Arabidopsis thaliana: one gene and its partners. The protein of the gene in region 2 interacts with the protein of the main gene of each other region in a pairwise test. Each region holds a gene or a part of one and is shown on either strand. Other genes may lie near its edges. The genes, in order: RGL2, MPK20, SEOa and GAI.

What was found.
Region 1: the proteins of MPK20 (region 2) and RGL2 interact in binary tests that used the Arabidopsis thaliana proteins (3 or more experiments, as listed by UniProt).
Region 3: the proteins of MPK20 (region 2) and SEOa interact in binary tests that used the Arabidopsis thaliana proteins (3 or more experiments, as listed by UniProt).
Region 4: the proteins of MPK20 (region 2) and GAI interact in binary tests that used the Arabidopsis thaliana proteins (3 or more experiments, as listed by UniProt).

What each region holds. Positions count from the first base shown.
Region 1 is NC_003074.8:817,293-824,235, forward strand, and holds RGL2 (RGA-like 2), read right to left. Parts: upstream 4,361-6,943; 5' UTR 3,988-4,360; coding exon 2,344-3,987; 3' UTR 2,045-2,343; downstream 1-2,044. Other genes in the region: AT3G03440 (ARM repeat superfamily protein), read left to right, coding at 463-1,276; AT3G03460 (mediator of RNA polymerase II transcription subunit-like protein), read right to left, coding at 5,777-6,389, 6,742-6,943.
Region 2 is NC_003071.7:17,838,426-17,847,202, forward strand, and holds MPK20 (MAP kinase 20), read right to left. Parts: upstream 5,956-8,777; 5' UTR 5,523-5,955; coding exon 5,499-5,522; intron 5,111-5,498; coding exon 4,702-5,110; intron 4,376-4,701; coding exon 4,248-4,375; intron 4,124-4,247; coding exon 4,064-4,123; intron 3,985-4,063; coding exon 3,835-3,984; intron 3,738-3,834; coding exon 3,582-3,737; intron 3,435-3,581; coding exon 3,223-3,434; intron 3,143-3,222; coding exon 3,041-3,142; intron 2,811-3,040; coding exon 2,668-2,810; coding exon of another isoform or gene 2,645-2,667; exon of another isoform or gene 2,584-2,644; coding exon 2,147-2,583; 3' UTR 1,743-2,146; downstream 1-1,742. Other genes in the region: AT2G42885 (Defensin-like (DEFL) family protein), read right to left, coding at 7,690-7,841, 8,081-8,168.
Region 3 is NC_003074.8:244,833-252,474, forward strand, and holds SEOa (sieve element occlusion protein), read left to right. Parts: upstream 1-2,359; 5' UTR 2,360-2,383; coding exon 2,384-3,004; intron 3,005-3,085; coding exon 3,086-3,166; intron 3,167-3,236; coding exon 3,237-3,706; intron 3,707-3,784; coding exon 3,785-3,894; intron 3,895-3,994; coding exon 3,995-4,137; intron 4,138-4,211; coding exon 4,212-4,676; intron 4,677-4,778; coding exon 4,779-5,429; 3' UTR 5,430-5,640; downstream 5,641-7,642. Other genes in the region: RGLG1 (RING domain ligase1), read left to right, coding at 93-230; AT3G01660 (S-adenosyl-L-methionine-dependent methyltransferases superfamily protein), read left to right, coding at 700-1,215, 1,295-1,600; SEOR1 (sieve element occlusion amino-terminus protein), read left to right, coding at 7,201-7,452, 7,537-7,632. UniProt on the Arabidopsis thaliana protein: Scaffold protein required to form the phloem filament matrix in sieve elements.
Region 4 is NC_003070.9:5,147,296-5,154,110, reverse strand, and holds GAI (GRAS family transcription factor family protein), read right to left. Parts: upstream 5,130-6,815; 5' UTR 4,698-5,129; coding exon 3,096-4,697; 3' UTR 2,696-3,095; downstream 1-2,695. Other genes in the region: AT1G14930 (Polyketide cyclase/dehydrase and lipid transport superfamily protein), read left to right, coding at 1,076-1,262, 1,366-1,646. UniProt on the Arabidopsis thaliana protein: Transcriptional regulator that acts as a repressor of the gibberellin (GA) signaling pathway. Transcription coactivator of the zinc finger transcription factors GAF1/IDD2 and ENY/IDD1 in regulation of gibberellin homeostasis and signaling.

The DNA of each region.
Region 1 (6,943 bases), on a different chromosome or scaffold from region 2:
CTTTCTTAGTTTATACGCAAACGACTTTGTAGTCAATTTATTTTTTGGTCTAAACTCTGAGATCATCACTTTCTTTTATTAATGGGATCCATCTAGTGGAGAGAAGACATGGAGCTAGCACAGTAAAGATACTAGGACTCACGCCTTTCTTTTGCTTCACTTTTCCTCTCTTATACTATTGTTTTCATTAAATATCTTTTCCTACTTTAATTTTGGTGTCCCATAAACATTAATTAAATTACGTCTGCTTGGTTTTCCTAAGAGGTTAGGTTGGTGGCTTCAACTCTATTTTCCCTTGATTACAATTCATATGACTTTTAAATTGAATGCAGAGTAAAGTCTTAGAGAAAGAAAGATTGATTTTTGCCTATTTGATTAGAAACATATGTGTCATTGTCTTCGATGAATATTCTCCTCTGAGACTATTATTCTGAGTTTTGTTTCTAATTTTTCAAATTTTAGGAATAAAGTGAGTATAATTGAAGCCGGTGCTTTAGAGCCAATCATCAACTTCTTACAATCAAATAGCCCAACACTTCAAGAGTATGCTTCTGCATCTTTGCTCACTCTCTCCGCGTCAGCAAACAACAAACCCATCATTGGAGCTAATGGTGTGGTTCCTTTATTAGTCAAGGTCATTAAACATGGAAGCCCACAAGCTAAAGCTGATGCAGTAATGGCTCTTTCCAACCTCTCTACACTCCCCGATAACCTAAGCATGATCCTAGCAACTAAACCACTCTCACCAATACTGAATCTTCTCAAATCAAGTAAAAAGTCGTCGAAAACATCTGAGAAATGTTGTTCACTAATAGAGGCCTTGATGGTTTCTGGTGAGGAGGCGAGAACAGGGTTAGTTTCTGATGAAGGAGGAGTTTTAGCGGTCGTGGAAGTTCTTGAAAACGGGTCATTACAAGCTCGGGAACATGCCGTTGGCGTGCTTTTAACGCTCTGCCAAAGCGATAGGAGTAAATACAGAGAGCCAATTCTTAGAGAAGGTGTAATACCGGGACTGCTTGAGCTCACGGTTCAGGGGACATCGAAATCTCGGATTAAAGCTCAAAGACTTCTCTGTTTACTAAGGAACTCGGAAAGTCCGAGATCAGAGGTCCAACCCGATACAATAGAAAACATAGTGTCAAGCTTAATCTCTCATATAGACGGAGATGATCAATCCGGTAAGGCAAAGAAGATGCTAGCTGAAATGGTCCAAGTTAGCATGGAAAAAAGCTTGAGACATCTACAAGAACGTGCCTCGACTCTTGTTCGTCCATAACCTGTGATCGAAAACCGCAATCCCTAGGTTTCTTCCAAGTATAAAAACGGTGGTTTGACTCCGAATAAGGGTGATGAAGATTGAAGAATATATATATGCCAGTCCAGTTGCCGGCGCTTTGGTTCTTAGTGACTGGTTTTTTTTTTTTTTACTCAAAAGTGTTCATAATAAAATCATTTTGTAATTTAAAGTCTTTTTGTGTGTACATGCATTACTTATAGAATCGCTTTTACTTTAAAAAAAGGTTTCAATGATATTATTGTGCCATTGGAGTGTTCTATATATAATCCGAACCTATCCGACCAAAATCCCTACGTTAATGTCGTTTTATAATTTCCTTCTTGACTATACGTCTAGATTGAATTCCAGAAAGAATAACTTCATATATGTTTTCAAAACTGAAACCCCCCAAAATTTAGATCCACCAACTCTTAGGTAGAAGACCATTGAATTTGAGGCTTATGATCTCATAAAAGTAGAATAATTTCACCTCGCATATTTTTAAAAGTTGATAACGTACGTCAAAATCAATTTGACATCCATATTACCTCATCAAACCCATAATAAAGAGAGAGAAAAGAACAATCTGTTTCGAAAACAAAAATGTACCAAAATATATTTCGAAGAAAATCTTTTAACAAAGGCTGACATCAGTCCTCGAAACTGAAAGTACATTTTGGATCCGCCTTTTCAGAAACGCTCACGTTCACTTCCCATGTTATCAACGAAACTGTCCAAATTTGAAAAATATATGACACAAAATCATTTAAATAAATTCATATATATTGGATCAAGTAAAAAACATACAGAATCGTTATCCTTCCATTTATTGAAAACTACTTAGCTCGATCTACGATACAAGATTTTTTACTCGTTCTCTTAACTCTCAAAGATACGCACAAGGTCCAAAAAGATAAAGTTGTAAACATTTAGGCAAAAAGGTTAAACACACAAAAACTTCGGGTTAAAAAGTAAAAACATAACTAAAGTTACGGTCTCTTTTCCTAATTTTTTAAAACATTTATTGTTTTTCCCGGTTTCAGGCGAGTCATCTCTACCGCCGCGACTCAGGCGAGTTTCCACGCCGAGGTTGTGATGAGTGGTCGCGTCTGCCACCCTATCATTAAACATCCGTCATTTTCTTCAACTCTGTATCCATCTCCGGTAGCGTAAAGCGATAAAAGCATACTCGCTTGTTTAAACGCGCTAGATCCGAGATGAATCGGGTCAAACCCAGCGGATTTCATCCGAATCCTCCACTGTGCAGCCGTCTCGTGCCGCTCGACCCGATCGGACCCTTCCGCCGCAACAACGTTGAGTATCTGTCTCCCTAAGTACACTTCTGACATAACTCGGTCTTGACTCGGTAAACTATAACTGTCTTCGAGCGAGTCAAACAAGCTCGAGTAGTAATGAAGCGCTTCGTTGAACCTATCGAGGAAGACGATTCCGTTGTGGTTCGCTTCTTGCTCAACCACCGTTACGATACTCGGTTTAATAGCTTTAACCGTATTGAGAAGCTTTTCGATTGAACCGGATCGGGCTAATAACCGGTGGAGCTCAAATACCGAATTAACCACTAAGGTTTCAGATTCGGGTCGGGTTTCGAACATTTCGGGTTCAAGATCCGATAAACTCTCAGCGGCTAAGCCTTTGAATTCGAATTCAACGCCCATGTTCTGAGCGAATTGAGCTAATTTCCAACCTAACTGTTGAAGCGAATCTGAATTCTCCGTCTGCGGTGGTCCGATTCCGGTGAGACGAAACGACGGAGGTCCACCGGGTCGGAGAGCTAAAGCTTGCATTAAAGCAGGCCATTGCATCCCTTGATTAAGCCCTAAATCAATGACGTGAACTCTACGCGCCGTCGTAACAGCTTCTAGAATCGCTTGGTTCGCCGTGAAATGAGCGAACTTCAGGTAAGGGCAAGACTCGTAAAAGTGCATCTCCAAAACCTCTTCGAAAGATGGGTTCACCGCCGCGCAAACGTCCGTCTCCGCCGTGTAATCACGGTAAATACGACGAGCCAAGGCTTGAGCAAAATACGTAGCGACTTTTCCCATAGCTCCAGCTTGAGAACCCGCGAGTGTTCCCACGCGTTTCACCAGCGCGTCAGCTAAGTTGAGATTCTCCTGGTGAATCGCCTCAGCGCACGCCACTAGTGCGTGGACAAGTCTAACTCCGGTCTCCTGAGAGTCAACGAGCACCACGGACCGAGTTGACTCGTCCGACGATTCGCACCACGATCCGAGTCGGATCCTCTTGCTGCTAGCTTCCTCGTCAAAGACTTCCTCTTCCTTTGGAAACGCAGAAAGACCCGGAATTGCTCTGAGATCGTATTCGGATCTATCCACACAACTTCGGGTCGTGTCAAGATCCGAAGAAGCCGGGTTGTTCAGCTCAGAAAGCATGCTCTCGACCCAGTTAGAGAGATCAGATGGGTTATAATGAACAGAGTCGTTTAAGACAGTAGAACCAACATCATCATTAGACAAGACCATCTCAAGTTGTTCAAGCTTCTGTGCTACTTCAGCCATCTCAGAAGATCGAACCTTGTAGCCAAGAACAGCAAGAAGCTCATCATCCATGTTGCTGTTGTTGTTGTCATCATCAGCCTTCTTCTTATCCGCCATTGAAGGACCTTCTCCGGAACGAGAAGCTGGTAGTGGTTTTGGTGGCGGATCCCATGTTTCTCCGTATCCTCTCTTCATCTTTCTTGTTCTTGTGATGGTGAGTTAAGAGACTGATGAAGTTGAAAAAAAAAGAACAAAAGAGAGTTTATAAGAAAGGAGTTTACTTTACTTCATGGGTTGGTAAGGTTTTTATTAATGGGATTTGAAAAAGAAAAAAAAAAGAATTTTGTGGGTCTTTGTTGTGATTTGGTTACAGACAATTTTTGTGGAAAGAAAGGAGATTCTGAGAGGAGCAATATATAAAGCACGAGGGAGTGAGAGAGAGGTCCAATTAGAGAAGTGACTGTGAAGTGTGTTTAAGAGATAAGAATCAGAGCATGCCACTATTGTTTGGCATCTGTTTCTCTCTTTCATTTTTTCCTAACTCCAAGAAATTTACTCCTTTTTTTTTGTAGTAATGGATAATTTTCTTTATAACTGTTTAGTAGAGATTTCTAAATCTGTTTAGTAGTTTTGACCAATGGAACTTTATAACTTTTAGGTTGTAGTGTGCTTTCGTCATATTTGTTGGTAAGATGTTTTTAAGTTGTGAAGTGATTAAAGTGTCTTTTAATGATAGTGTCATAGTCTTATAGACGATCACGACTTAATTGTTCTTAAATGCCATTGAATATTGTCATATTCTCGCTTACGACTTCGTTGTTCTTAAACCCAAACGGCACCAAATGCGTGTTAAGATAATGGCACTTAAGTGTAGTTTTTTTCCTTATGTTGGATAATGTTTATTTTTTCACTAAATAATTGACATTTGATAATCAACTCTTTTCTAATGACAACTGAAAATATTGAATTATACAAATTTGATTTTCTCATATCTTGGTAGAAAGTATATAATCTTTTCCTCAGTCGAAAGTGTATAATCATGAAGCAAGAATCCTAAGTTGTTAGTGTTTGGATAAAAATACAAATTTTCAAAGCAAACAATTTTTTGTTACCAGCAGGTTTAATGTCATAGAGTAATCAGTTTTTAGAGATCATATTAAACTGAGACAACATTAGATAACTAATTATTTTATTGGTCCATAAGAAAAGTATAATCAGACACAAATATGATTCAACTATTACTCTCTTTTTTCTTGACCAAGTTCTAACATTCTGGTGATGTGAATTCTTTTTTACCATAATGATAAACAAATATGTTTTTAGCTATGTATTGTTTCACTGAGATAAAACTACAGTCTACAGCTCAAGTATTTGAGGGGGACACATGAGCAACTTCTCATGTGCCACGTAGAGGAAGACATAGCCTACGAGACGTCCACAACATAAGGTTACTTTCATTAATTTATTGCATATATCTTTCAGCAGTTTTACATACACACATCATCATCATGCATAATAATTAAGGTTTTTTCGAATAGTGGTATCGTTTGGAAACCGTAAAAGATCCTTTTGGAATATAAGAAAATAAATTATAGAAAAATGTTGTGGGGATTGTATATAGGTATGGTCCCAATCGCAGCTACAAGAAAATGATATTCGTTGTTGTGTTAGAAGTCACATGGTGCATGCTTTTCCATTTTTAGTCATTTGATGTAACTTGTGTCTAAATTGGCCTGTTTTGCTTTTGTGGTTTACATTATTTGTTACTTTTTATTTAGGATCCCTCTTTTAAAATTCATAAGATGAGAGAATCGAAACTGAAGCGCGTCATGCTCACTCGCCAAAACTAGTCCACCTCAAAGAACACTTCATCATCGTCAATTTATCTTTCACCTTATTCACTACCTTTCAAGATTTAACTACATCACCAAACTACGAGTATTTGGATAACCAAACCAAAAGAAAATCTGAGTCATGGTTTCATTTACCGAATATTCAAATCAAAATCCCCACTTCTTCGCCACTTCTCATGTTCACCATTTTCATTTTCTTCATCATTCAAGAAATCTTCTAATGGTTCCTTCTCTTCCTTCTGGCTATTATTGTTGTTGTTATTGTTCCCCCATCCATTCATCAGCAACATCATCTCATTAGGGTTCATGTTACGCCCCTGTTCTCCATGATTCCCAATCGCATTAGCTCTCAACGGGTTACGAGCCATCATCTCGGCATGAGACTGTTGAGACTCTTCTGCCCTTGCTTGTCCTGCTGCTTGAGCCAAAGCCGCCATTCTTAACCTCGCATCCTGAGCTTTCATCTCCCTATCCAGCTGGATACATGCGTTTCTCTCGTCATTGAGCAAAACTTGTTCCATCATCAGCCTTTCCTCAACTCTGTCTCCATCGCTTCTCTTTTGAATTATCCTGTCGAAAGCTTGGACTTGTCCCTCAAATGTCGCCGTGAATTCTGCAACTTTGGCTGCAATGTTGTTGTCCCATTGCTGACAGCGGGGTAGCGTCTGGCTTGTTGTGTTTGAATCAAAGATACTATCATCTTCTTCTGCTTCGTAATCTGCTACAACATGATAAGGTAACAATCTGCAAAAAAAAATAGTGAAATCACAGAGAAAATTGTAAATGTCACAAAGAAATAGTGAAATTCCACATTTTATAAACATTTCATATATGGATCAACAACATATACAATGTCACATGGAATTCAAAATAGAAAACTTTTTTCTGCAATCCCGAGAAAAAAGTTGAAGAACTCCAATAAAGCATTGGCCTTTACGATGAAAAGATGATACAATTAACTAATGACTACCAGAGAGATCAATTCAGTCAAAGAACTATTTCAAGTAATCACTATACCCAGAATTCTAAGAACAATCCATAAAATCAATTCAATTCTATGAGAAAACAATTGGGGGAAAAACAGAATTAGACGAACCTTTCACAAGCGTCTTCGAGAGAAGCGAAAGGTCGTTTGAAATCAGGATGACAAACACGCCAAGCGTCTTGGTAAGCGAATTGTATCTCCAATTGATTCGATGGACGCATCAATTTCTGCTGTTGTTGTTGTTGTAGTTGTTGTTGTTGCATCATCATCATCATCTGTTGCTGCTGCTGTTGCTGAAATTTATTGGCTTGTT
Region 2 (8,777 bases):
GTAATATAGTATTATTATTAGATGGATGAGATCAAATAGATCCTCTAAGAGATAGTGAACTTGTTCGTACAATTGAGGACCTAATCCTACTAAGATCCACATGATATCTATCGGGCATGGTGGCCACGTGTCAACCCTTTTTTGGGTCCCCCCCACCTCAGTGACCTCCTAAATCTGTCCTTCATTTTTTTTTTGTCAACTCCTTTTTCTTATTAAAAGAAACTCCAATTAACATCCCATATTTCTTACCACGTAAAAACAACAATCTCAATATATCTATAATGTTAGAGAAATGGCCACTATATAACAAGAAGAAAGCCAAGGAAGTTTAGTGTTATTGGATTCGAATATAGTGTTACATGTTTCTAGCTAGAGATCTTTATAATATACATCTTTTATACATAAAACCGTTATAGTAAATCTTACTTAATGTTGGTTCCATAAATGAGCCCTCCGGTGCATTTCTTTTGTCAACTATATGATATAAAAACTAGATAAAGACTTAATAAAAAATAATTGCATTAAAAAAAAACAATTGCATTTTTGTAGGTCTTTAATCCAAGATTGCAAATTAACCTAAATCTACTCAAGAAAAAAAATTTAGTAAAGAATAATGATTGACATCTAATTAAAAGAAATAATGTATGGTCTTAATTAAGACAAAGATCAGGAACAGAATAACACATTTCTTTTACGTCTAGGGTTTTTAGTAATACTAAAAATTGTTAAGATGTTGTTTTAGAAGAAGAAGAAGATGGAAGAGAGAAATAAAGAAAGAGATGATGTTTCCAAAGAGGGGACGAAGGAGGGTTTGGTTTCTCGGGATTGAGATTTACAAAAATCGGGTGCCTTTCGCATTTCACCATCTACCAAACTGACACTCTCCCCAATTCTAGTATCTATTTATTTATGTATTTGCACTTACATTAAATATGTTACAAAAATAACACACTCGAAATTTAATTTTAGCTTTTAGCCAGCTTTCACATTCGTCGTCTTGGAATAATCAATTCTATGTCCTTTTGTATCTTGTTCGTTGTTTCTATTTTTTCCAAAATAACTTTTATTTAATGACGAAAACCTAAATATTTATATCTAGGAGGAGTTTGAGATGATTCCCTTTCACTATTTATTTTTGTTGCCACAAAAATAAAAGAGAAGAGTTTGGTTAAAGACAAGACAGTATATGTTTTTTTAAGAATTAAGAAAGGGGAAGATTAAGAAAGAAAATATGTAATGTTTAGCTAAAAAACTCCAAATCAAGGGAAGTTAATTAGTTATCTTCTCTTTTTTTCTATAAAGGCTGGAGATATGGGCCACACAGGTGGACCTACCATGATGGGTGATCTCTGGGACAATGCATACAGTGGTTTTTGGGTCCACCTCTAACCTTATTTGTCTCCTCTCTTGGCCTCATTTAGTTGCATTTTTTTCAATTGTACATGCATTTTCACTTGCTATATCTCTCTTTTGCTTTAAAACTTATTTTATTAAAAACTTTATAATCAGAAAGAAGAAGAAAGATCCCAAATTTTTTTATTTTTATTTTAATTAAAATAGAAGTGAATAAATAATCTTTAAATGATTTTTTCTAATTTTATTTTGATATTTCTATTTTGAGATACTATTTATTGAACAGCAATCTCTCATTGTGCTCATTTATTAATTTGTAGAAGAAATAACTTGTTTAGGAAGAAAGTAAGCGAACTCAACTGTTTACACAAAAATATATACACAAATTGGTTGGTTTAAAGATATGATCAAGTGACAATGCACCTTTCTGTTTCTACTGACATTTGGAAGAACAAAGTGGTGCCTGTGATATGGGTTCCCACCACCACATGCGTTTGGATGTGCCATGAAACCATCATCATCATCACCATGCGCATCCACACTGATCCATCTTCTGTAGCCAGCGGTTCTTTTAAACGTGAAAAACTCTCAACCTTTCTTGTTATATATACCAGAATCTAACATCCATTTATTTATTTGTCGGAATAGAAAAAACAAACAAATGATGGATCACAATTAATAAAAAAAATATTTTTTGCTCATATGGTTTTGTGTCATAGACAATTTTCTTTTATGACATGAAGATGGAAACATACAATGTTCTGTGTGATGAAAGCCCAGCTTAGGTGGAGAACTAGTACATCTTTGACATACCGTACCGAACAGCTCCAACTTTCCGGTGAGCAGAACCACCAGGAGCAGCTGCTGCAGCTGCCGCTGCGACTCCTATTCCGGCAGTTGCCTGTAACAGATTTGTGTCGATTATGATCCGGTCACTGATGTTTTCGGCTTTGTTCATTCCCGTTCTAGCCATGATAAACGGGTTGTTGTCTATGTTGATGGCTACATCTGGTGCATATCTATTATACTGAGATATTTGTCTTGCCTGCTTCTCAGGCTCCATAGTTGTTCTTCTCTCTTGCTGCTTTCCCATGGCGACTGTTGCAGCAGATTGTTGTGAAAAGGGGAGATTAGTGCTCCGGATGAATGATCTCGGGTCATATGCATCTCTGCTGATTCTGCCATTGTCGAAAGGTGCAACCGGGCCCATGAATGTGCTTGGTTTGGCTGCTGCGTGTAGATAGATGTTTTACAGTTTATAGAGGTCAGTTTGGACACATTGCTGTTGGATTCAGGATGAGTGATTAAAAGTACCTGAGAGGTTTCTTTGTTGTGCTTGTATTGTTGCATGATTAAAAGGAATGTTTTGAGTAGTTTCAGGGTTCAATGTGTTTGTGTTATTCATAAGTTTTGGTTGTCCTCCTCGTGCTACTGCGGTTGAGTGTATGACCGTTGATCTGAAAGCATGCAAACACAGAGTCAGAAGGACATATTTTTATAGAAATTAGTGTTCAACACAAGAAACAGATAGTCACGGTCTTATGATTCCATCTTTTTTATCCTTGCCATGTCAATGTATATTAATATACAACTAGTATAGCAGTTGCATAACGGGGGTCAAAAACAGAGGAGATCACCGAAACCAGATCAAGTGACAACAGACTTTACAGAAAAAATGAGGATATACCTGGGAAGAGAGGCATGTTTCCTTTCTAGAGGTGCCACAGGGCCGGTTTTACCACTGTTTTCTTCAAGATGCGCAAATTGTCTTCTAAATTGATCAACAGCACTGCACAGTATACATCAATGTCAGGGACTGGGTGTGATATGCAATGCTAGCTCAAGAATGTAATCAACAAAAATTACGACCTTGGGTAGAGAAAACTGGCTTTATCAGCCCCGTTCATATGATCTTTAAGCAGCTGAGGGTGGTACTCAAGTATCTCCCTAGAAATTAGCTCTCTTATATCCTCTTTAGTGACCTTTCTTCTCTCGAACTCAAATTCCATCTTCGTGATGGGTTGACATGAAGGCTCCCTTTCCACTTTTGCCAATCCCTTAAAATATGGATCAGCAAGTGCCTGATTCAAGTATACAAGAGTAGTTTAGTGATTCACTCCAATAGAAACCCCAAATGCATGATACTCTATTATTAGAGAGAGAAAACAATCAGGAAGCCGAGAATTCAAGATTTGAGATAGTTAGTCAATATGGAAGTTGAAAAGCACCTCTTCAGCAGTTGGCCGGTCTTTTGGATCAAAAGCAAGAAGCCTCTCCAACAACTTCAGAGACAAAGGATCTGCATTTGGGAATTTCTGTGCAAACGGAATGGGTGGCTTTTTCCTCATGCTTGTTAAGTACCTCCTTGCCTTCTCATTCCTCACCTGTATAACATCATAAAAGCAGGGTACTCATCACTACTGGTCCTTGCTTAAGATGTGTAGAAACTCAATGGACTTCGTTTAGCAAGAAGATCAATACCCGTGAGATGGTGTCCAGGGAAGGTGTCCCTAGCAGATCAGTCATAAGATCCAGCTGGTGAACCACATTCTTTCCAGGGAAAAGTGGTTTACCCATCAACACCTCCGCAAAAATGCAGCCTATACTCCAGATGTCAATTGCGGGTGTATACTACAAAGCCAAATCCATCAAAAGTTATATCGCGGCAACACACCAATTAAAAGATGTTATATAGAGAACAAATGAACACCTTAGAGTAAAAAGATCCACAAAGCTCTGGAGCTCTATACCATCTGGTAGCAACATAGTCCTGTAAATTCAGTAGAAAATAATGTAGAAGAGTATCAGGTCCTGCAACGTAGTGAATAATATTTAGACCAACTTCAGTTTAAGAGAAGGAAAAGACTCTTAGAGAGCCATCTTGTCAAACGTACAGTCCAGAAGATTGTTGTGGGGGTATCATTGAATGCAACCCTTGCCAATCCAAAATCACAAATCTTAAGTTTACAGTTTGCATTTGCCAATATGTTCTTTGGTTTCAGGTCTCGGTGGTAGACATTAGCTGCAACAACCAAGATTCATAAGATAATATAATACAACAAACCAAACTCGACAGCTGAGTTAAAGTTCAGATATATTGGGGCAAACTTCAAAAGGCAAACATTTAGCCAGACAATGGAAACCGCAAGAATCCAATTCAGTGCATCAATGTATGAGATAGTACTGTAGAATGTAAAGTCCTAAAAGACAAATCTGACATACACTACATTTTGCAAGTGTCCAAGATTTTCATCTACAGAGAGAGCGATATATACACACAGAGAGATTTGAAGATGAAAAGACTATTGCTAGATGCCGGATAAAGAGAGACCAAAAGAAAAAGACTACCTGTGTGAATGTACTTCAGTGCACGCAATAACTGATACAGGAAAAACTGGTAATGCTCTCTAGTCAAATCATCATTGGCTTTAATAACTTGATGAAGATCCGATTCCATGAGCTCAAAGACAACATAAATATCTTTGAATTCTCTTCGTGAAGGAGGAAGCATAATGTGCTTAATTTCAACTATATCTGGATGCCTTAGGAGTCTAAGAAGTTTAATCTCACGTAGAATCCTCGCAGCATCAGAAATATGCTCAAAAATATCATGAATTTTCTTTATCGCGACTTTCTCACCCGTAAGAGTGTCTATAGCTGAGCAAACAACTCCATAACTGCCTTTTCCAATAACTTCTTGAACTTTAAATCTATTGGCATCGCCATAGTCAGAAAAGAACTCCATCTCCAGATTATTCTGTTACAAATACCATTACTTCCAAGTCAGAAACATTACAATAGAGATAACACTATACAAGAATCAGATGCAGAAGGTTCTCTACTGATGCTACAAAGGACGCCTAATGAAGGATCAATGCAATTGAATGTCAATTTGCTGATGAAGAAATAAAAAAAATGTCTCAACAACACATCATCTTGTCTTGAATGATGACAATTATGCGTTGTTTGTTTGATGACACTTGTAACGTTCATTGATCATAAACAGAGTTGTCCAAAACGGCAAAAAGATTAAAGACAGTAACAGGAAACAAACAAGATTAACCGAAACACACACATAAATATCTCAGACAGAACAGATAGTATCGGATGGAATAATTGGAAAAAAGGAAGAGTTTTTGTTTCACCTTTTTGCGATTATCTTGCTGCATCGTGACTCAATTGAAACACAGACTAAAAACCCAGGAATTAGAAGAACCCTAGAATTCGATCTGAATTGGGGGGAGGGAAATAGAAATTCAGATCAGCCGCATTGGCCCCATCGACCACTACTCCAAATGGCGAAGCTAGAATCCGACCTGGTTCTGCTCCGGCAATCGATCACCGACAGAGACAGAATCGCAGGCGAATTTCTCATTCACCTCTCTAATTCACCCAATTACCCCCAACGAAATCGAAACAACAACAAACAATCGCAGTTCAAGATAAATCGAGGAATTGAAGATAGCAGAGTGCGAACAGCATTGCTTTAGACGCACGTTTTCGTCGGCACGAGATCTGATCACCGACACACAAGGGATACAGAGAGAGAGAGAGAGAGAGAGAGAGAGAGACGAAGAAGTAGTGAAAATGAAAGGAGAGAGAGAGATAAGGAAGGAATCTAGACGGAGATTTATATATAGAGGTTAAAGTGTCGCGTTTGGTAAGCTGCTTTGGTCACTGTGATCCAAAAAAACAACCCATTAGTAAAACGAAAAAATAAATTATTTGATCAAGTGTTAATAAATTAATTAGGACATTATTGATCTGGTCATTATTAGTGTATGATCTATTTTTGATCTTTATTGCCATTCATTCATGTCTTCTTTATCCAATTCTTTCGTTTTGTCACGTACTTATCTCATAGATATAATGTTAATAGAATGTTATCATCTTTATCCTTAAAAGCTTTTTTGCTAATTTTAGTTGCTAAAACTTTGTTTTATTCACTTTATCATTTGCTATATTGTATATACTGCTAAATTATATTTTCAATCTATATTTCATCATCTTCATTTTTGTAAGGAATTTTTAGCTTATTTTTTGTATTAAGTTTCTGGTAATATGATTCTCAATTATTTTGCTGTAAAAAAAAATATATATTATTTTGTTTTTTTCCATTAATATTGTATATCAAATAACCTTCAATTAAAAACAACAATATTAATTTAGCTTTTGGTTGTGGCATGAGTGTAATATAGTAATATTAGGGGTAGAAAAAAAAACAAACTCTCACTTAACTAGCCCAATGGGCCATGCCATTTTTTTAAAACACGCAGGGCTTTTCATATCCGAATAGTTAACGCCACGTCATCTCTGACGCGTGAGAGATTTGTTGTCAAATGTAATAAACCAGCTAATCATTAGTCTGTCTTACTGTCTCCTTCTTGTGGTTAAAATCAAAAGTCAAACCAGCTCACATTAGTGTAATTATTTAACTAAATTATAAAAAAGATAATCATATTTTGATTAGCTAATAACTAAACTACTTGACGATTGAGCGAATCTTATATTTAGTCTTACGGGATTAAACAAAAAATATCAATCAGACCTTGTTACGTAAGCACAAATCATAGTGTTTGGTTGAAAAACGAAGAATAATACATTTTTTTTTATAGTGTGTTAGTACTGTTTTACTTTATACTTCCATATTCTTTTTTCAATAGACATGTTTTTTCTAATCTTCTTTTTGGTGTTAATTTGATTTAAATTAAGTTAAATTTTTGTTGTTTTATGTATTTGGCCAAAATGATATTTGCATCATAAGGTTCATGTAGAAGAAAACATATCTTCATTTTTTTTTACTTTCTAGTCTTTTTCAATCTAGTGGACCTAATCCTTTTTCAAAATGATCTTCAAAGAATTTTTGTACCTAGTCTTGAATAAATGTGAGGAAATCTTTCTTTCTTTTTATGTGAAAAAATGTGAGGAAATCTAATTTACGTCTTTCATTTTTCTGCGAACATAAAATGGGTAAGGAGATATGGAAAATGTAAGATTCGGTTTGCAATTTTTCTGCAAACACAAGATCTCTGTTTTCTGCAAGAACAGAACCAATTTCCCACCAGGGTAACTCATTTTGACCACTTACAAGCGCCAGGCAATAATCCTTCTTCAAGGCCTTTCACCACTCCCCAAGTTCTCTGCTTTGGATCATATAAGCTCTCAAAAATCATAATCCAATACCAAAATTCATGATAAGTTATATGTTTTATTCATTATCAAGAAATTGAAAAACAACAATTCAAAAAGTTCATCTTTTAGAATCATATACTAGAAAACACATAAATCAAGCTCCATTCACCAATTATTGATGAAGTCATGAAGATAAATCGATTATTATCCTCTGATGCAACAACAGCGTGGAGGATTTCCAACACAATGTCCAGTCCGGTAAATAGCTACATTAGTACAGTCATAGAAGCATGCATGATCATCCCGTCTAGCATCACATAGAAAAAGGCAAGCACCATATTTTGCTGGCTCGATCACTGCACATATATACAACTCCACATTAAAACTATAAATCTGTAGATACATGTCCAAATAACAGTTTTAGTTTCTTCAAGGTTCTTAACAACATATACATATACACAGATACATGTAATATTGTATTACTAATTCTATATTTTTAAGAATTTTTTGTTTCCTGAATTATTGTTTTGGTAGTGATCAAAGATAGTTGAAAATAACAAAAAAAAATAAACATCTTCGCAAAGAAACAACATACCTGACTCGGCCTCAACATCGTAATAAGAAAACGAAATTGTCAATATAATTACAAGAAAAACAGTTGCAGAGGTTTTTTTGATACCCATAGGTTCTATTATCTTTTAGGTTTTCGTGAAAGTCTTATTTATAGGACTATTTTTCTTGGAAAGTTTCAAGTTTTTATCCTCTGTTTTTATTTTACAGTAAGTAGATCTTCCATAAATAAATTTGTTATTTTGGTAAAGAGAGATTTTCATTTCTTTTTATTATCTTCTTTAAGTAGAAAGAATCTTAAAACTACTATACTTGAATACTTATAAAAAAAATTACTATACTTGAATATATCAAATTTAATGCAAAGTTCATGTTGGAGAAATTAAATACTAATATCAAAATGTATTTGTATAAATCACATTACAATCACTTTGACTGGAAGACCATTATTCTGTGTGGTAAACTGGTAATTAATTACTAAATTACCACCTACATAAACCGAATATAATTGGACACACATAGAGAGAATTTTCTGTTGTCGAATATTCCAAAACTTATCAAAATAATGTATGTTTCTATTTATAGTCTGTTTCTCTTTATAGTCTGTGTGTATAAATATGATGAGTTTGAATATCACGGGTGATGAAAAAAAAAAAAAATGAATATCACGGGTCCTCGAAAACCACTCCTTCTTTATCCCCACTGTTTCATGTTTTCTTCGC
Region 3 (7,642 bases), on a different chromosome or scaffold from region 2:
AAACTTAGGAATCTGTTTGAAATGTTAAGTGAAATAAGAGCTTTGGAACTTTTTGTTGTTAAACTCGTTTGTGTTATTTTCCCCTTGAACAGCTATGTCCGATATGTCTGAGCAACCCGAAAAACATGGCGTTTGGTTGTGGCCATCAGACTTGTTGTGAATGCGGACCAGATCTTAAAGTGTGTCCTATTTGTCGTGCGCCGATCCAGACCAGAATCAAGCTTTACTAACAACACCATTGACATGCAGCTTTGACCAGCCCAAATCCCATTTCTTCCAGAGATTTTCAGATCTTTCTGTAGAAAATTAAAGTGTTCTTTTGTTCTTTGATTGAATTCCTAAACTTTATCTTGTTCATAAAATTTCTTTGATTGGATTGTAAGAATTATGTATTTGTCTGTTGGCTTTCTTTGATTTTTCAAGATTCGATTAAACCAAAGTTGATTGCTTAAACACTTTAATTTTGATTTGTTTTGTCGACATAAGCAATGAGAAATAAATGGATGAATAGCCCAATAGAAGCCCATTAGCCTGAAATTGGGCTACAAGCAAACATACCAAATAAATAGTAGGGAAGAGCAGAAATAATCACACCACTCATCAGTTATCCATTCCTTTCTTTTTACATAAATTTTGTCACTTTTTCTACAAACGATTCTTCGCTTCTGTGAAATTTGATAAAGCGAAAGTTTTTTTCTTATGGATTCTCTTCGATTCAACCTCCAACAATCTCCATTTCAATTGAAACCTAGAATTCTCCGACCAAGAATCACCAACATATCAAACCGAATCGATGAAACCGATCCTCGACCATCATCCTCGGCCGGTAGGATCCAAAGGTTAGTACTTAACAACGAAGGTCGGACCAAACTAAACGCCGATCCTGACCGTGAATTCTATTCATATCCACGGTTCGTGAACCACGTAGATGATAGTTTCATATCCTCCTTAACCGAACTATACAGAAACCGGTTGAGACCCGGTTCGACTGTACTTGACTTGATGAGCTCATGGGTCAGCCATCTTCCAGAAGAAGTGAAGTACGAGAAAGTAGTAGGGCATGGTCTTAACGCACAGGAGCTTGCTCGTAACCCTAGACTCGATTACTTCTTCGTCAAGGATCTTAATGAAGATCAGAAGTTCGAGTTCGAAGACAAGTATTTCGACGCTGTTTTGTGTTCTGTTGGTGTACAGTATCTACAACAACCCGAAAAGGTACGTTACCGTAAACCAAAACCGATTTCGGTTATGTCAAGAAGATTCCTAAACCGGGTCTTTATTATATAAACCGCAGGTGTTTGCAGAAGTGTATAGAGTGTTGAAACCGGGAGGAGTGTTGATAGTGAGTTTTAGCAACCGGATGTTTTATGAGAAAGCAATTAGGGTTTGGCGTGATGGAACCGAATACAGTCGGATCCAATTGGTGGTTCAGTACTTTCAGTCTATTGAAGGGTTTACTCAGCCGGAGATCATCCGGCAACAGCCTGGAGCTCAGATATCGGTTTTGACTCGGCTTATGGGTTTTATCGGTTTAGCTTCTACGCCCGATCCTTTTAATGCTGTCATTGCTTATAAAAATTTCAAACCTATTTATGAGTAACACGCACATAAAAAAAAGTGTATAAGAATTGGATGGGAAGTTTTTGAAGAAAAGGAAAAAACCTCTCAACCAAGTCCAGCTGGAGAAACTTACAATACAAATTTTTAAAAAGTGGAGAATGAAATTACAGATTTCAATCAAATTGGAAGAACCTGTATTACACAAGAAATAATTGACAGAAAGATTACACACTTTGGAAAATATAATTAATATATAGTTTTCAATTAGCATGCATTGTATGTGATTCGTTTTGTTCGAAGATTCATGGACAATATCCAAGCAAGGTAGCCTTGTCCCTCTTCAAACGAGTATCACGAGTTGCTTACTTTATGGTTTAGATTCTATAATAACAGTATATATATTAGAAGGAAGTCTTTTATATTAAAACAAAAATCCATTGTATATGTACACTATCTATGTTCCATGCATGTGTCTTCTTAAATAGCTATGAAGTCCCTTATTTTACTATGTACATACTAAATTTAGTTATGTTTATCAGGATAACTCGTTGTACCATCAGTATATAAACTTTGAAATATTAAATGTTTCTCACTACTAGTATTAGACTGTTGCAGTTGCGTTAGAGACGTTTCATATTTAGAAATAATATTATCCAAGACCTGAAATTCTTATTATTATGAAAATTATGAAATATCGATAAGGGAAAAACTGTATGGAAGTGTAAAAGACACCAAAACAGATATTGAACCAAAGGTGAAGCAAAGAAGTTGATTCAAAGTTGCCACTTTATTTAACCTTTTGCACCAGTATATATACACACACATGGATACTAACCCAATCATTCATCACAACACATCAGATCCTTCACCATATATTTCTCTCAACCTCGCCAATATGGCCCAACGCTTTCAATTGAACTCACAAACCCTCCCAACGGCCGACCCTCTCAAAAGGGTCTCCCTTATTCCAAGATCCGCCGAGCAGAGGCTGGCTGATAACGCAGGCGAGAGGCGTCCTTTAGCACCGAGATCTCACGAAGACAACCCCTTTGGGGGTCATACTGATGATCACCATGTTGCTGCTCCTGCGGACCATAATAAGGTGATGGATCATAATAGCGAGAATCTCGGTTCCATTGTCCCTAAGACTGCACATTACCCTCATCCATCTGAGGAAATCCTTGATGCTAATATCCGACATTCGATGGTTCCGAAATCATTGGGTCCCAATTCGCTCGGTGGAAGATTTGGTCCGGGAAAGAAACAAGCTTTCCATAGAAATGGCAGACCCATGTTTTCACTTTCTGATGACCGAGTCATGGCTGATAGAGTCTTGAAGACTCACAGTCCAGACATGATCTTCTTTGATGTCACATCACTTCTCTCCGTTGTTAATGACATCTTCAAGTCTCATGTCCCATCCATTGACTCCTCTGCTCCTAAGGTTTAGTTTACTTGTGCAACAATTAATCCCCATTTCAAATACTGATTTTTACAAGCGTATTAAATTTAAAACTTTTTGCAGCCATCACTCGTCTTCAAGGACTACGCTGATCATACCTCCTTTGAAACTTTTGCGGATCTCATTGATCAAATCTCTTGCGAGGTATATATGAAGCTTTCTTGTTTTAAGTAACGTTTGAGTCAGTATCTAAGTATCAATGTCTCTGACACAGATCGACTGCAAGTGTCTCCATGGCGGTGAGTCTCACGGTATGATGACATCAGGGCTTCATTTGGATAGTCGCAACACGACGACGTTCTCTGTTCTGTCTTTGGTCTCCAAATACCGTTGGGATGCTAAGCTAGTCCTTGTCCTATCTGCTTTGGCCGTGAAATACGGCGTTTTTCTCCTCCTCGCGGAGACACACGCAACAAATCAGCTCACAAAATCTCTGGCTCTCATCAAACAGCTCCCTAGCATCTTCTCCCGGCAGAACGCTCTACACCAGCGTCTCGACAAGACCCGAATTCTGATGCAAGACATGGTTGATCTCACCACTACCATCATCGATATCTATCAACTCCCGCCAAACCACATCACAGCCGCGTTTACCGACCATATCCCCACTGCGGTTTACTGGATTGTTCGCTGTGTTTTGATATGTGTTTCTCACATCAGTGGCGCCAGTGGTTTCAAGCAGGAGTAAGTTGTTTTTCTTTCTGATTTCTAGGGTTTCAAGTAGGAGTAAGTTGAGTATGTGCTTCTCATCTATGTTTTCAGTCAAATCATGTCGTTTATGGAAGTTTCGGAGATACATGAGAATAGCGAAAGGCTTAGGAAGATCAATGCTTACTTGTTAGAACAATTCAAGAAGAGTAAAATGACCATCGGTAACTACGACGTCGTTTTAAGCTCTCTCTCTGTTTCTATATATTTAAGAGTATTTTTATTCCTCTGTTCTCAAGCTCTGTTTTTTTTACTCTGTTACAGAGGAAGGTATAATCGAAGAAGAGTATCAAGAACTCATCCAGACGTTCACTACTATCATTCACGTCGACGTTGTTCCTCCTCTACTTCGTCTTCTCAGACCCATTGATTTTCTTTACCACGGAGCTGGTGTTTCAAAGAGACGCGTAAAACCTCCTTATATCTCTGCATCTGTATATGTCTCTTGTCAGTGACTGATCTGTTTTCAAACATTAACCAGGTCGGGATCAACGTGCTCACCCAAAAGCACGTTCTGCTTCTGATATCAGACCTAGAAAACATCGAAAAAGAGCTCTACATCCTGGAATCGCTCTACACAGAAGCATGGCAGCAGTCATTCGAGATTCTTTGGGTTCCAGTTCAAGATTTCTGGACAGAAGCTGACGATGCCAAGTTCGAGGCCCTTCACATGAACATGAGGTGGTACGTTCTTGGAGAGCCTCGGAAATTAAGACGAGCCGCGATAAGGTTTGTGAGGGAATGGTGGGGTTTCAAGAACAGGCCTATACTCGTTGCACTTGATCCCAAAGGTCAAGTTATGTCAACCAACGCCTTTCCTATGGTCTGGATCTGGCAACCCTTTGCTCACCCTTTTACCACCGCAAGGGAACGTGATCTATGGAGCGAACAGGAGTGGAATCTTGAGTTCTTGATTGATGGCACTGATCCTCATTCCTTAAACCAGGTTTCTTGATTGAATAAAAAAACAGAGTACTAATAAATTTTTCTTTCTCTTGTGTTACACGTAACCTGAAAATCTGTGTGTGTTTCAAATGTTTTTTATCAGCTTGTTGATGGAAAATACATATGTCTCTACGGAGGAGAAGATATGCAATGGATCAAAAACTTCACGAGTCTCTGGCGTAATGTAGCGAAGGCCGCAAACATTCAACTTGAGATGGTTTATGTCGGGAAAAGAAACCCTAAGAATGGAATCCAGCCGATAATCAACACAATCCGGGAGGAAAATCTCAGCCATACTTTGCCGGACTTGTTCCAGATCTGGTTTTTCTGGACCAGGGTCGAGAGCATGTGGGAATCGAAGCAGAGGATGCTGAAAGCCCACGGAATCAAGGGGAGAGAAGGGTTTAAAGAAGAGGAAAAGGACCTTGTTCTGCAAGAAGTGGTTGCTATGTTAGGTTATGGAGGAGAAGGAGATGGATGGGGACTGGTGAGTAAAGCATCGGACATGATGGTTCGAGCCAAAGGGAACTTGTTTTCTAGGGGTTTGGCTGAATTTAACGAATGGGAAGTCAACATCCCCACAAAGGGTTTTCTTACAGCGCTCAATGATCATCTCTTAATGCGTCTCCCACCACATCACTGCACAAGGTTCATGCTTCCTGAGACTGCTGGAATTATACCTAATGAGGTTGAGTGCACCGAGTGCCGTAGGACTATGGAAAAGTATTACTTGTACCAATGCTGCCTTGAGTAAGATCCCATAATACTGGGGAACAAGTTGATTTGGAAGCCAACAACTTGTTCCTATAAAACCAAATAAGTTTGCGTCTTTTTTTTCCTCCTTGTTGTGAGTTTCTCTACTCTTCATGTTGTTGTTGTTGTTCTGCTCTACTAAAAGCAGAGAGTCTTTGTAATAAAATTTGTGTGTTTGAGATTTCGAAATAATAAAGGTTTATTTATCGGAAGCTTCTAGAACAATGAACTGATTGAACATTGCTTCTTTGTTGATTTCTTGATCCTTAAGCTCCTAGAACACTAGTGAACTAATACACAAGTAACACAAGTGACCGTGACATTTTTTTAATGTGACAGTAATATCTTTTGACATTTAGCCTTTTGAAATGAAATTACTTAATGCTAGTAAAATATAGGCAAAGTAAAAGGATGGATCAATCAATCAAAAGATGAACAGTCTTTTGAGTCCAAATCACATATCGTAATATATCTAATAGAAAGTTAAAAGTGTTAGTCTACATTATTGAAAAAATAAACCATGAGACTGATTGCTGTATTACAAAGGGGGAATACAACTTTAAACGACAAATCAGCGGTTCCTAGCCTGTAGTTAATGTAAAAGTTAAATCTTCCAAACCATCAAATACTTTTTAAATATTGCATATATCGGATTCGATTTCGAAGAAGCTCTTATACGTATTTCTAATGATGAGATATTAAAATTTGTTGCGTATAGAAACAACAAATTTAATCCTACCTATAAACGTTATGCTAAAGTTAATAGAAAAAAAAAAAAACATGCATAGAATAAACCCAAAGCATAACAATCTTATTTTTAGAAAAGTGATTGTCTTTAGATAAATATATCCTTGGTTACTCTTTTATTGCTTTTTTTAGCCTTATCCAAGATATATCATTGAGCTTAAGAAATTCTTTAGTTTTACCCAAAAGAGAGCAAAGAATCTTAACTTCACACCCTTTTGTTCACTTCACTCTTGATGCTATTTTCTGAGGCATGCATGAGATAAAATCAATGTAAAGTAACTTAAAGTAAATGACAGAAGCCATAAATTATAATATTCTATGGCATGAGGTGAAGTAACATAAGAATATAAGCAAAGTAGCAAACAAAATGTGTCTTATCTTTTAATGTCCTTTAGTAACATAAAAATGCGAGAATTAATTAGTAGTCCAGTGATCATCATTATGATGGAGAAAAGTGAGGAATTCGTCTCCAAACCTCCCAAGAAAATGACAAAAATCTGTATATTTTAGGATCTAAATTTCTAGTTGGCAATGAAGTTAATATCATTAGTAGCAATATTAAAATAGTGTAGTTTTTGATCCACTTTTAGTCTTATATGAATTTGAATTCAGTAATACACACATAAAGAAAGAGTACTAGCTCTAAAGATTTACGAGTAAAACTCGCAACATTTCAGTGAACCATTTTCTTCCCATTATGATTTAGTTCTTATTTACTATATATATTCGTGTAAAGTAGGCCTATACTTTATTGTGCTAACGATATTCACGTGGACGGGAACTATATATCTCATTAAAACTTCTATAATAAGCCACCAAAAAAAGAAAAGCAAAAAAGAAACAAGATTATATAATTGATATTCTTTGTATGTTTAATTTAATTGTTGCAGAAGCAAAGAAGTCGATTCTCAATTTCCAACCGTAACTAAGGGGGAGAAACGAGTATTTAAGGCTAACCTCACATAGCAAAACTACAAACCAATAAAGACAGCCTCTTCTTCTAACAAAAGCAAACTGAACCAAGAATGGAGTCGCTGATCAAGTCCCAGCACGCTCAGCAACTGGCGGGTCACAAGAATACGACCGGTAAAACTCCGTCCATGGAGATGATACCGGCGACGGGACTTGCGATGTCATCGGACGAAAGCATGATGCTGAAGCTGATTCAACAAACTCACTCCCCAGATGCTCGCGAAGTCCAAGTGCGTGGCCTTCTCTCTCTCGTTGAAGATATTCTCGATCGTGCCACTCTTGACTCTGAAGACACCAACGCCTCCGTTAGTATTCCTACACACAATCAATTTCGTTCTTAGTACGTACGTATGATCATGTTCCTTTACGTACTTGCTTTGATTTTTCAGATGCTTCCGTTGCCCACTGAGGATAAACTGATGCAGTCAAGCATGATGAGCGTTCTTGATAGTGTCTCCTATGCTATCGATCGTGTTGCCTGCGAGGTATAGCTAC
Region 4 (6,815 bases), on a different chromosome or scaffold from region 2:
ATCGTAAAAAAATTATTCTCGTTTACCGTAAAGTCTTTTAACTAAAAAAGGGGAATATTGAAATATTCATGCATGTGGGTGTGATAATTAAGAAGTACGAACGATATGACCAAAAAAAGATAACCAAGTAAAGACTGAAATTTAGAAATCTATAACAATCTGCAGCTTTTACAAAGAAAGAATAAACTAAACATAGATACCCTAAATAGATTATTCTAATACGTACTAAAAAACTTATAAAACCTGAACACTCTACATATATTCTTAATTATATTATATACAAAATACTAATATATATTGGATAATCATTAATCCCACATTTTATCATAAACTCGGATCAATCCAATTCCAACATTGATTCATATGTGGGAATATCAATATATGCATAACTAATTTTGATGGACACGTTTCGTATCTAATTGAAGGACAGTTTTCAGTTGTTATATATTCATATTTTATGTAAATTAAAGATACTTCTTAAGTCGATGGTTATAACATAAAAGGGTGCTTGTGTCAAAACAAAACAAAAATAGGTTCAAAGAATCTATAAGTGTGAGGTAATTTGGACATGACGACACATGGGATACACATGTGGAGCATATCACTATGACATCTATGGTCATTAAATAACGCAAAACCCTCTTGCCCGTCTATTTCGCCCTACTTTTCTTGCTTCTTTTTATCCAGTTAATAATCTGTTATGTGTTATCTATTAATAATGACATATTCCAACCAATTCAAACCTTATATTCAAGCGCTTACAAACTATCCTTACGTATACATTTCTTTAACTTTCACTTAAAATAAAACAATTATTTGGTTAAAAGTCACTTAAAATGGTACGGATGGACTAAGCATTTCATATTCAGGATTTAGCAAATGTTAAACGAATGAAATCTTTATCTTATAGTTTAAAAGATATAAACCACCTATAATTAAATCTTTATCGCCATAATTTCGTTTCTTGTTAGTGTTGTGGTGAGTCTTAATTTGTATATAAAGGAAGCGCAACACTTGGGTTTTTCCATCGAATAAAACACTTGACACATTTCAAAAGAAAACAATCAATCAAGAAATGGCGATGTCAGGAAAATACGTGGCGGAAGTACCGCTGAAAGGGTCGGCGGAGAAACACTACAGGCGATGGAGGAGCCAAAACAATCTCTTCCCGGACGCCATCGGCCACCATGTCCAAGGCGTCACCGTCCACGATGGCGACTGGGACTCCCACGGCTCCATCAAATCCTGGAACTACACACTTGGTCCATACTTTACTCTATCTCTTTCTGTGTTTGGTAACACGCGAGGATTGGATGATATCTATATATTCTAATGTGGACTAAAAATGTGTGTGTGTGTATGAAGATGGGAAGCCGGAAGTCATCAAGGAGAAAAGAGAGATAGACGACGAGAAGATGGCGTTGACGTTCAGAGGACTAGAGGGTCATGTGATGGAGAAGTACAAGAAGTATGAGGTTATCTTACAGTTCATTCCCAAGTCGAACGAAGGCTGCGTCTGCAAAGTCACTCTGATATGGGAGAATCGCAACGAAGACTCCCCCGAACCCATCAACTACATGAAGTTTGTCAAGAGCTTAGTTGCTGATATGGATGACCACATCCTCAAGGGCCAGAACAAAGCTTAATAACCCTCCATGGTCATCGTCGTAAATCATCCTCATGCATGTGTCTTTTGTACTTGTCTCGTAAGTGCCTTTATCATCCGCCTTTACATGTTATGCTAATAATAATGGCGGTCTTGTTAAGCAATTGTATTGTATGCTTATGTATACCATCTCTGTCTGTGATGTTATTATGCGTGTTCGTAATAAAATAAGTGTGTTAGTTATACGATTTTGTGTAAGATATAAAGCGGATGTATGTTAGTCATTTAGTCTCATGACTCTCATTATCCATCTCCTAATAAAAATTTCATCAAAATAGATAAAGAAAGTTTTTCACGAGGGGAGAGAGATTGATTAACCAAAATCCAAAATATCCATAATTCTGAAACAAAATCAAACACATACAAAAGTAAATATGCAAATATATTTTTCCGCCTAAAGACTCTCACGTCTCCTCCTCTCCCTTCTATAGAACGTATAAACCCTAGATTTTAGAACCCTCTGTTTTGCCAATTGACCAATTCCCACCTCAAAGTTGCTATCTTTTTTTCTGAACCATTTCTACTTGTTTTGGGATTTTTACTAAGGCCCATTAGCACTTATTCGGCCCATATATGTGGGGTAGCAAAAGTTGACTATAATCAACCATCAAACCGCCCTCGTGCCCTTTTTATACATCACAAAGGATCAAATGTCACAGTCACTCAACTATATAATACCAAAGGGTCACGAGTGAAGTCTAGTCTACTACCACCACTGTCGAATGTTTTTTTATCTCTTAAACAAGTTCGTAAACCAACTTCAATTGCTGTCAAAAAAAAAAAAAAAAAACTTCAGTCTTTTATTTACGAAGAACATCAACATCTCCCATTTTTACATATGTGGAATTATTTATGTGCAGTTGATGTTGAACAATATAATCCGCCTACTCTTTTTTTTTTTTAGGTGACATATATAATCGCCTACTATATCTTTCAGATACATGTATTAAAGGTGGACATTTGTATCTTTTCGGTTTCTTTTGTTTACTTTTCTTCTTTCAAATTAACAAATAAGAAAACTGAAAACGACTTAGCATTGTTAAAATAATCTGGTCCACCTATAATACCATGCACATTAAAAGAGCATATTCATGAGAATCAGCACATTATCATAAGAGACAGTTTAATCAGGCTCATTAGTCATTACAATGAATTTTATAGATGGTGACACTCAAGATGATTTTATTTCAACCAATTGCACATACTTGGTAACACATACTTCTATTTCTGCCTATCCAATTTACCCTCCAATGTCACATGCAAAAAAAAAAAACTCTCCAAAGCGAGATTAAAATTTTTCAATTACCTAATATAATGAAAGATAAGATCTTAACAAGTGACAAAGGGAAAAACAGTAGGATTTAGTTTGGCTTCGGTCGGAAATCTATCATCATAACCGGTTCAACAGATCAATTCATTGAGCCACCATCTAATTGGTGGAGAGTTTCCAAGCCGAGGTGGCTATGAGCGGTCGTGTGTGCCAACCCAACATGAGACAGCCGTCACTCTCCTCCACCCGATAACCCTCACCGCCGTTGAACAGAGCCAAAAGCATACTCGCTTGCTTAAACGCATTCGAACCAATATGTGCAGCCGCAAACCCAGCAGACCCGAACCGGTTCCTCCACTGACTCAACGTTTCATGACGCTCAACTCGGTCAGGTCCATCACAAGCCACAACGTTGCAGATCTGTTTACCCAAGTAAACCTCCGACATGACCTTGTCTTGACCACTCGGTACACCTTCCAACGAGTCAAACAACGTCGAGTAATAATGCAACGACTCAGTAAACCGATCTAAGAAAATCGGACTATTATGGTTCGATTCCTGCTCAACCACAGTGAAAATCTCCGGTTTAATCTGATTCACCACACCAAGAACCTTATCGATCGCACCAGGTCGTCCCAAGAGCTTGTGAAGCTCGAAAACAGAGTTAACCGCAACAGATTCAATCTCACTTGGTCTAAGCTCAAGCATCGAAGCATCAAGATCAGCTAAAGTGTTAGCCACAAATCCTCTGTACTCAAACTCAACGTGAATCGCCTCAGCTAAATGAGCCAGCTTACACCCAACTTCATGAAGATAATCGAAATTATCCGGTGCCGGTGGACCAATTCCGGTTAACCGGAAAACAGGAGGACCACCAGGTCGAAGCGCAAGAGCCTGCATAAGCGCCGGCCATTGAAGACCTTGACTCATAGAGAAATCAATGACATGAACTCTTTTCTTCCCTTGAAAAGCTTCGAGAATCGCTTGATTCGCCGTGAAGTGAGCGAACTTGAGATAAGGACAAGTCTCGTAGAAGTGCATCTGAAGAGTATCGGAGAGAGAGTGGTCGATTGGACTCTGCGACGGAGAGAGACGGTAAATCCGCCGCGCGAGAGCTTCGGCGAAGTAAGTAGCGACTTTTCTCATCGCTCCGATTTGAGAAACGGCTAAGAATCCGATTTGCTTCACCAGAGCTTCCGCTACAGTCAGATTCTCTTTCTGAACAGCTTCAGCGCAAGCCAAAAGCGCGTGAACGAGACGCACACCGTTCTCCTGCGAGTCAACCAGGACAACATGCCGAGTTGACTCAGCCGTCGCTGTAGTGGTTTCCACGACGCCGTTTGAGCATTTCAACCGCTTGTTTGTAGTATACGTATCTCCTCCGCCGCCTTGGTTAGACGAAGAAGCCGAATCGATAGCGAACTGATTGAGAATCGCGTCACCGGGAATAGCTTTAAGATCGTACTCGGCGTTAGACGACGGAGGATTAAGGTCGGTGAGCATAGAATCAAGCCACGTGTAAAGCTCCGCCGGATTATAGTGAACAGTCTCAGTAGCGAGTTGAGAAAGATCGTCTTCTTGAACATTAGACATCATAACTTCAAGCTGCTCGAGTTTCTGAGCAACATCAGCCATTTCGGATGACCTAACCTTGTAACCAAGAACAGCTAGAAGCTCATCCATGCCGTTACCGTCGTCTTCTTCATTCATCATCATAGTCTTCTTATCTTGATGATGATGATGATGATGATCTCTCTTCATGGTTGGTTTTTTTTCAGAGATGGATCTAAAAGGTTTTTCCTTCAATGTCGGATCTAGGTTTTGCTTTATTTGGGAAGGTGAAGAATCTTTAGCTTCGGGGATCGGTTAGGACTGCTTAGGATTTGTTTTTTCACTCCACTACCACTTCTAATAACAAAATAAATTGTAAAAATAGAGAGGAAGGTTATAAGAAAAAAAATGATTATTATTGTTGAGAATAAAAAGGCTCGTGATGGGGCTCGATGTCCGATGAATCATGGATCAGAGGGCTAACAGCAACATCTACAGCTCAAAGAGATAAGGCTGAAAATCACACACACACCAAAATTTGTAATTAGGGAATATATTGAAATTAATAAACTAATATATTAGGGAATATATAGCTTTTTACAGATTAATATTTTCTAAAGTTAGTATTACTTTAGAGTTTAGATGGTCATACAATTTTGAACAACTAAAAAGATTGTCATGCAACTAGTGGTACAATTTACTTTTTGTCGCTTTTTTAAGGAGTTTGTTGTGTTGGTTTTGTGTGATTGTAACTTTTGATCTAAAATACAGATATTTTTTATTAAAAAGTTTAAGTATTTAGTATAGTCTTATTAAATAAAATGGAACTTTTGTATTGGGAAAAGTAAACCATCATTAAACCCATTATGGAAATTAATATTCCATTTTATTAAAAAGAGATTGAGGGACTATGACGTTTTCCCGTTTTAGTTTTAAATTGTTAAAAAATTTAAATTGAATATAAGAAAAAGCTCCTTTTCTAACATTTTTTATAAGATCTTTAAAAAAAAAATTAAACCTTATTAGTATTTATCTGTAAGAGTGGATAAGAACTAGTAACATTTTCATTAATTACAAAAGACTTTTATATTTGTTCTTTGGATGGGGAACTAAAAGCTTTCATCATACTGTTTGAGTGCCCTAGCCTTCCCCTTTGTAATAATGTAGGCATGTTTCGAGCAAGGGGGTAGAAAAGTAAACTGCAGTATATATAAACCCATTTCAAAATAACAGTAATTATCAAATAGTAGCATTCAGTCTTTACACTTAAATAGCATTCACTATTTTGTCAATTACATGTTACGATAGAGTTAAGTTGTAATCGTTTCTTTTTAAAGTATAGTCTCGATTTTTTTTGCTATTTGTAGATAAAATTGGTTAATACAATTGTAGTATGTACTTAACGCCGTCGCTTACGGCAACTATTCTTAAATCATAATAAGATTACACAGATCAGAAAATAACAATTAGTCCCACTAATTAATGTCTTACAAAAATATTCGAAATTATTTTCGTGAAAATCAGAACTGACAACATGTGATTGGGTCCACGTGTAAAACGGGTCCCTTGAACTTACCGTACGCCATTTAGACTGTGGTCCCAAAGATCCCATGTGATTATTACACGTCTCTAAAGTATTTTTATACGCTAGGCCCTGATGAGAATTGAGATGACCATTCCCACCGTTGACGGCTCTTCGTATGGACCATCTCAATTAACGCTGTGCTACATGGTTGGTTACATGTTCTTGTGTTCCACGAATAATTATGCTCCGTTACATCATTTTCTCACAAAAAAAAAAAAACTGTTTATATTTTTAGCCACTTCACAAAAATTTATCAGATGGTATAATGGATCATTTCAATGTATATATACTATTACTTACGGAGTATAGAGTGACGTCGATAGTATTGGATTAAACATGCACCATGTCAATGTGTAATGTGTTACAAATTCGGTAGGTATAATTATTAATTTACTAGCAAAGAGAAAAAGACATCCAAAGTTTTTTACTTTGATTGGTTATCGTCATACTTGATATCAAGTGCTCTCGTTGATTAACCAAAAAAATTAAAGGTGCACTCATTGATTCCTTTATTTATTTTTTATAGTAGTAGAAGCTAACAAATGAAAATGGTGTCACATCATTCGTAATGAATATTTAGTCTGCTTTTTAGTCCAAACATTATTTTTTCTAAAGAAGTAATACAAGTCGTGATATATGTTAATTACATAAACAAGCCAATTTTAAACAAGTAAAATTGGATTACTGAATTCTTGAAATACTAGGCATTTTTGGAACAAAAAAAAAAAGGAAGAATAACTTGG